Linked DNA regions of Rattus norvegicus. The protein of the gene in region 1 interacts with the protein of each later gene in a pairwise test. Links are inferred from orthologs where the notes say so. Each region holds a gene or a part of one and is shown in the gene's direction. Other genes may lie near its edges. The genes, in order: Tsks and Tssk2.

The links.
Region 2: the proteins of Tsks (region 1) and Tssk2 interact in binary tests that used the Homo sapiens proteins (3 or more experiments, as listed by UniProt). The link is inferred for Rattus norvegicus from reciprocal best matches to the Homo sapiens genes TSKS and TSSK2.

Annotation. Positions count from the first base shown.
Region 1 is NC_086019.1:104,570,508-104,574,322, forward strand, and holds part of Tsks (testis-specific serine kinase substrate), read left to right. Parts: intron 1-440; coding exon 441-536; intron 537-699; coding exon 700-783; intron 784-1,714; coding exon 1,715-1,825; intron 1,826-2,423; coding exon 2,424-2,710; intron 2,711-3,726; coding exon 3,727-3,815. UniProt on the Homo sapiens protein: May play a role in testicular physiology, most probably in the process of spermatogenesis or spermatid development.
Region 2 is NC_086029.1:96,590,257-96,593,927, reverse strand, and holds Tssk2 (testis-specific serine/threonine-protein kinase 2), read left to right. Parts: upstream 1-1,708; 5' UTR 1,709-1,776; coding exon 1,777-2,853; 3' UTR 2,854-3,064; downstream 3,065-3,671.

The DNA of each region.
Region 1 (3,815 bases):
ATGGTCTCTATCTGATGATCCAAGATGATTGTCACTTTATACTTCAGAGAGTGGGAGGACAGGAAAGGAGGAGGGATTTTGTGGGTACACATTTGCATCTGGAACCCACGGTCTTGTGCATGCAGGCAAGTACTCTGTCGTTGAGTCACACCCCAGCCCCTCACTGGGGGATTCCAAGGAGTGGCTTTACCATTGAGCCATACCCTCACCTCCAACGGGGAAAATCTAGGCATTTTCTTGAAACTGTCTTCCCCTCTTACTTGTCCCAGCGCACTGTGAGGAATATTAGTCTACTTCTGGCTTTACAAAACAAGGGACTAAATTCGAGGATGCCACCTTTTGCCCAAAGCCACAAACCCATCTAGAACAAAACCAAACTGAAAACACAGCCTGCTACCTCTAGAATTTTCTTGGTGTTGAACTCTCCCGTTTTTCACCAGAGTGGGGTCAACAGTGGATTGGTACGTGCCAAAGACTCCATCACCAGCTTGAAGGAAAAGACCACGCGGGTTAATCAGCATGTTCAGACACTGCAGGTAGGCTACTGGAGGATCCCTATACCCTTGCCTGTGGCCTCTTCCTCCAGAACTAAGTTCCTGGCTTGTAGCCACCTTTCTCCATTGCGCATGCTCAACCCTCAGGAGGCTAAGACGCTGCTCCCCGTATAAACTTTAACCCTGCCTCCCTTCCATGGTCAAGAGCGAGTGCTCTGTGCTGAGTGAGAATCTGGAAAGAAGGCGGCAGGAGGCAGAAGAGTTGGAGGGGTACTGCAGTCAATTGAAGGTGAGCCGCTGTGGAAGGAACCGGTTGGGGAGAAAGGGATGAGAGAAGCAGAGACCACAGAGGGCTTGGGATGTGGCTCAGTTGGTAGAATGCTTGCCTAGCATGCAAAAAACCTCGGGTTCAGTCGTAGTGTGGCATTAAGCCTGAGTTGGGTAGAATACACGTCTGATTTCAGAACTTGAAAGTTCAAGATTCTTTTCAGATATATAACGAGTTGGAAGCGGGGTACATGAGACCCTCTCATGGCTACCAAAAAAAGTCACTCTCTTCTGGCTTTCATGGCCACTGCACGCATTATTGCACATACACTTAAATACATATACACAGGCAAAACACCATACATATACGAATTTTTTTTCAAGACAGGGTTTCTCTGTGTAACCCTGGCTGTCCTGAAACTAACTCTCTAGACCAGGCTGGTCTCAAACTCAGAGATCCACCTGAGTCTGCCTCCCGAGTGCTGGGATTAAAGGCATCCGCTGCCATGGCTGCCGCTGCCACCGCCACCATCATAAGACATTTTCTTTTCTTTTTTTTTTTTTTAAGATTTTATTTATTTCATGTATGTGAGCACACTGTAGCTGTCTTCAGACACACCAGGAGAGGGCATCAGATCCCACTGGATCCCAGATGGTTGTAAGCCACCATCTGGTTGCTGGGAATTGAACTCAGGACCTCTGGAAGAGCAGTCAGTGCTCTTAACCACTGAGCCATCTCTCCAGCCCATAAGACATTTTCAAAAAAATTTTTTTTTAATTTTAAAATTTAAAACAAAAGGAGCACAGGAGAAGGGGGATGATCAACGGGGTAGTGCAGTACAGGCTTGGCTAGGAAGGAAGCTTGGTTGGGAAGTGGATGAGTCCTACATAGGGCAGATGCTATGCAAAAAACGAGGCTGAAGGTGGGGGGCAGAACCGGAATGGGAAGGTAGGGCCCCCGCCCTGATGTTCTGACCCAGGAGAACTGCCGCAAGGTGACCCGTTCAGTGGAAGACGCTGAAATCAAAACCAATGTCCTGAAGCAGAACTCTGCCTTGTTGGAGGTACGAGGGTATGGAGGGGGGTCCCAAGCTAGTGAGAAATTTGGGTGGAGTCTCGGGCTGGGGGTTGGAGGAGCTATGGTGGACAAGGACAGGGGTGTAAAGGCTGCAGATGTTCCAGTGAACTGAGCTGGGTTTGGGACCTGGCTGTAGGGGTTGGATATCAAAAGGGGGAGGGCCCAGGGGAGGAGCCAAATAGGGCTTGCTGGGTGTGACCAGGGTGTGAGCCTGGGGAAGCTTAGTTTGTCAAGGGTGTAGCCTGAAACGACTGGGTAGGCCGGGTCTAGAATGAAGACTTGTTAGCTCACTTTCCAACAAAACTTGGAGAAAACTTGTTGCGATCCCTAAGAGGCAGGGACTGAGGCAGACAGGACAGGAGACGAGAGTGGTAGGTTGCCTGCAGCAGTAGAAACAGCTAGCAGAGTTTAGAGTAAATGTTATCTCCCCTCCTAAAGACAAGCAGGAGTTCAGTTAGACTTCAAGTGTACTTCCCAACTATCCTCTCTCTACACTACTTTGCAGTCTCGGGGATCCCTGGAGTGCAGTTAGCTGCGGGTGGTAAGTTGCCGATCACCTTGACTCATTGTCCTCCCTTGCCCAGGAGAAGCTAAGATACCTCCAGCAGCAACTGCAGGATGAGACGCCCCGGAGACAGGAGGCCGAGTTGCAGGAGCTGGAGCAAAAACTAGAGGCTGGCCTCTCCCGGCATGGCCTAGGCCCTACTACTCCCATTCAGGGCTGCTCCGGTCCTCCTGGTAGCCCGGAGGAACCCCCGCGGCCGCGAGGCCTGCCCTCCAATGGCTGGGGCATGGCAATCCGCGCAGGGGAGGGACCCTCGCTGAGCGAGCAGGAGTTGCAGAAGGTCTCCAGCGGCCTAGAGGAGCTGAGGTGGGCGGGGACTGGAGGAGGTGGGTGGATCAGGACCCAGGTGGAGCAAAGGGCGGGAGTTGGGAGGAGCTTCGAGGCTGGGTGGGCGGGACAGAGTGTATCCTAGTCGGGTTGTAGTGGGTGAGAATTGGAAAAGCTTGATGTGGGAGGGGTTTAAGGGGGCTAAGCGATTGGGCACAGAAGCCCACTAGATGAGGATTGTGTGATAGCATAGGTGGTACCGGGCTAATCCAATACACCAAGAAAAGGAAAATGAAAAACAAAAACAAACAAACAAAAAAAAGGGGGGGGTTGGGGATTTAGCTCAGTGTAGAGCGCTTGCCTAGCAAGCGGAAGGCCCTGGGTTCGGTCCCCAGCTCCTCCGGAAAAAAAAAAAAGGAAAATGGTGGGAGGCGGGGGAGTGGTGCTTGCCTTTAATCCCTTAATCGCAGCACTGAGAGACAGAGTTCAATGCCAGCCTGGTCTACATAGAGAGTATCAGCACATCCTGGACTACAATAGACAAGACTGTGTTTTTTGTTTTTTGGGTTTTTTTTGTTTTTTGTTTTTGAGACAGGGTTTCTCTGTGCAGCCCTGGATGTCCTGGAACTCACTCTGTAGATCAAGCTAGCCCTCAAACTCACAGAGCTCTGCCTGCCTCTGCCCCCCAAGTTCTAGGATCAAAGGTGTGCACCACCACCACCCGGCAACAGACCTTGTCTTTAAAACAAAACAAAAAGGAAAGAAAAGGGGTGCTGGAGAGATGGCTCAGCGGTTAAGAGCACTGACTGTTCTTCCAGAGGTCCTGAGTTCAAATCCCAGCAACCACATGGTGGCTTACAACCATTTGTAATGAGATCCGATACCCTCATCTGCTGTGTCTGAAGGCAGCGACTGTGTACTCATATAATAAATAAATCTTTAAAAAAAAGAAAAAGAAAGAAAAGAAAAATAATTCGGTGATCTATTTGGGGCTAGGTCAACAGGGGCGTAGTCAAATCTATACCCAACCCTTTCTTCCCTTCTGATCCTCGCAGGAGGGAGGTGTCCTCGCTGGCAGCTCGGTGGCATCAGGAGGAGGGGGCGGTGCAGGAGGCCCTAAGGTTGCTGGGAGGCCTGGGCGGCC
Region 2 (3,671 bases), on another chromosome or scaffold:
TGCCCATCTCCCCAGGCTCAGCAAGGGGGTTTGTCCTCAAAGCCTTCTGGGACCAAACAACACTTTACAGCCTGCTTCTGTGAACTTTGCTGTGAGAACCAAGTATCTAGGGTTCAGGCATAGTACAGACTCTGAGCAGCACTGCCATGAAGAAACCTGCATGGGGCAGAAGGCTCCAAGACATGGGGCTAGTGGTGGGGTGTTCTGAGAAGTGTGTAGGCACCTGGCTTTTCACCTCTGTGGTTTTTGCCAAGGTTTTGGGGACAGAAGACACCAAGGTGGCCTGAGGCTGCTTAAAATTCAATGAGGAGACAGTTGAGATAGAAGTGACACAAGGGCTCCTGCTGTGTGTGTCACTCATGGGCATTAGAACCAGAACTTCAAGGTGGCCTCTATGGTGTATTCTTGTTCCCCTCTGCGCCTATGTCACTTCCTGTTTGATGCTGTCTGTCCCACCTCCCATCTAGAAATGGGCCTTCTTGCTTGCCCTCTGAGCACAGCACTTACACATTCTGGCAACTCACTGAAAGTGTTTGACTTTCATCTGTGGGATGTGAAAATGAGCATGGGACTTCTAAAGGAGCCAGGAAGATGGACAGATGATGCCACCTTGCAAAACAAACATCCATGCACAAAACACAAGACACTCCAACTGCGAATAATGAGCATTGCCACAGCCCTTCATGTGGCCTGGCTCACCTGCTCACAAAACTCCAAGCTTGCTCTTCATGGGCAACGCTAAGGGCTATCAATCCCTGGGCTGTCCAGCACCAAGCCTAACACAGTCCCCTCCTCACTACCAGGCCCATTGGCTTTTCGTAACCCTCTCCCCTCCCCTCGACCCTCAGATGCCTGCTCTGGCCCGAGGCCCTGGGGCTCCACATGCATCCCAAAGTCACCTGGCTTCTCTTCCTAACAGCAACCATCTTAAAAGGGTGTTAGGCTCTATAGGGGCTGCCGATCATTTGCAGACAAAAGCTCCATGACCTTTTTCTTCCCTGACTTACACTTGAACCATTCTCAGCGCTTGTCTGCTTGGGTACCTCGCCACCTTGTACATCTGGTTGAAGCCTCCCTATCTTCCACACCGCACTCTCCCAAGCATGCACCTGCCTACCTGGACCCTCAGTCCATCCTCTTGTACAACCTACCCTCCCACCCCCACACACCTGTTCACCAGGGATGTGGGTCATCTGCCCACTCTGTAGCCCAAAGACCCTTGCCAACTCCAGGCCCCAGACACGGGGCTGCTTTCATCCAGTAGACTGGAACCACCACTGGACTGACTGGACCTGGGCAGCTTCCACTGACTGACACAAACTCATAGGAAGTTTTCTTCAAACCCCAACCAACTGGGTCCAGTCAAGTGAGGACCGACACAGGCCCGACTCCCATGGCCCCACAGTGAAACAGAGACTGAACCTGTATGGCTTCTCTTTGGGCCTCACTGGTGACAACGAAGTCACAGCAAGAAAAAGGGCCAGGGAGGGTTACCACAGGCCTGAATGCCAGCTTCATTCCAGTGGGTGGGGAGGGGGTGCTCCTTCTAGGCCTTCCTGGCTTCCGTCCAGGGGCCCCATTCCCCCAAGCCTAGTCCCCACTCCCAGCAGCCCAGCTTTATGACTTCATTCGCTGGTCACTTGGTGACAATGCTGAGCGTTCCACTCCAGGCCCAGCCCAGCCAGACGCCTCCCCACAGTGGGAATGAGGACAATGCCTGCTGGCCCGTGTGGGGAGGGGATGTAGAGGGCGGCGGCACCGGCCGCTCCTGGCACCATGGACGATGCCGCGGTCCTAAGGAAGAAGGGTTACATCGTGGGAATCAATCTGGGCAAGGGCTCCTATGCAAAAGTCAAATCTGCCTACTCAGAGCGCCTCAAGTTCAATGTGGCAGTCAAGATCATAGACCGCAAGAAAACACCCACTGACTTTGTGGAGAGATTCCTTCCTAGGGAGATGGACATCCTGGCGACTGTCAACCACCGTTCCATCATTAAGACCTATGAGATCTTTGAGACCTCTGATGGACGCATCTACATTGTCATGGAGCTGGGCGTCCAGGGCGACCTCCTCGAGTTCATCAAGTGCCGAGGAGCCCTGCACGAGGATGTGGCACGCAAGATGTTCCGCCAGCTCTCCTCAGCCGTCAAGTACTGCCATGATCTGGATGTCGTCCACCGAGACCTCAAGTGTGAGAACCTTCTGCTTGACAAGGACTTCAACATCAAGCTGTCTGACTTCGGCTTCTCCAAGCGCTGCCTGCGGGACGGGAGCGGGCGCATCGTCCTCAGCAAAACCTTCTGTGGGTCAGCAGCTTATGCGGCCCCCGAGGTGCTGCAGGGCATCCCCTACCAGCCCAAGGTGTATGACATCTGGAGCCTGGGTGTGATCCTCTACATCATGGTCTGTGGCTCCATGCCCTACGATGACTCTGACATCAAAAAGATGCTGCGCATCCAGAAGGAGCACCGAGTGGACTTCCCACGCTCCAAGAATCTAACTGGTGAGTGCAAGGACCTCATCTACCGCATCCTACAGCCAGATGTCAACCGGAGGCTGCACATTGATGAGATCCTCAGCCACTCGTGGCTTCAGCCCCCCAAGCCCAAAGCCATGTCTTCTGCCTCCTTCAAGAGGGAGGGGGAAGGCAAGTATCGAGCTGATTGCAAGTTGGATACTCGACCAGGCTCAAGACCCGAACACCGGCCTGACCACAAACTGGGGAGCAAACCCCAGCACCGGCTGCTGGTAGCACCTGAGAATGAAGACAGGATGGAGGAGAGGCTGGCGGAGACTTCCAGAGCTAAAGACCATCACATCTCTGGAGCTGAGGTGGGGAAAGCAAGTACCTAGTGGCGGAGAGGGCCCTGGGGGATCATGGTGTGCAGTCTGCACCCACATAAGCTAAGTAGGAGGTAGGAGCTGAAGAAGGCACAGGTGCAAGGAACAAGTAAAATCCGTCAATTAAACCACTATTTTGATTACGTTCTATTAGCTTTCTTCCACTTCGTAGCAAAGCCATTAATTACTGACCACCAAATAAACCACAAAGTGTATACAAGCATTGAGAGTGCCCAGTGGGGAGTCTTTTTCTCTAGGACTCATCCAGCGCGGGGATCTCCAGCACAGGGGTTTAGGAACCTGTACACAGGCACAGGCAGACTCAGTGAGGCCTGTGGCAGGGGGACCTCTATCAAGGTCCTTTTGCTAGGCTCACACATGTTGGCTTCTGACTTTCCTCCATCCCCAAGGCCTCTAGCACTGGACAGCTCCATGCCTCTCTCTTATCTTAAGCAATACAAGCCACCCCGCCCCTGTTTTGTTCTTACACAGTGCTCATTGTCCATTCACTTCAGGGGCAATCAAATTCAGACCTTTCCTGTGCAAGTCTCACCCTCACCATCCCCAGGAATGGGGCAGCCCGCCTGGAAACTTGTTGCTATTTTACCCATTCTGTAGACCTGCAATGTAGACCCTTAGCAGCCCTCAATCAAAGTTCCTTAGGCACCATTTCCTGGTTCCACCTCTCCTTAAAGACTCCCTCATACTGGCCAAATGCTGGAGGTGGCCAGCACCCAGATCACACCCATTCTCCCTGTCTCCAGTATCTGCTTTCTCTTACTGGAGGAATCCTTGGTTTAAATCTCAAGCTTCCTGAGCAGAAGATCCCA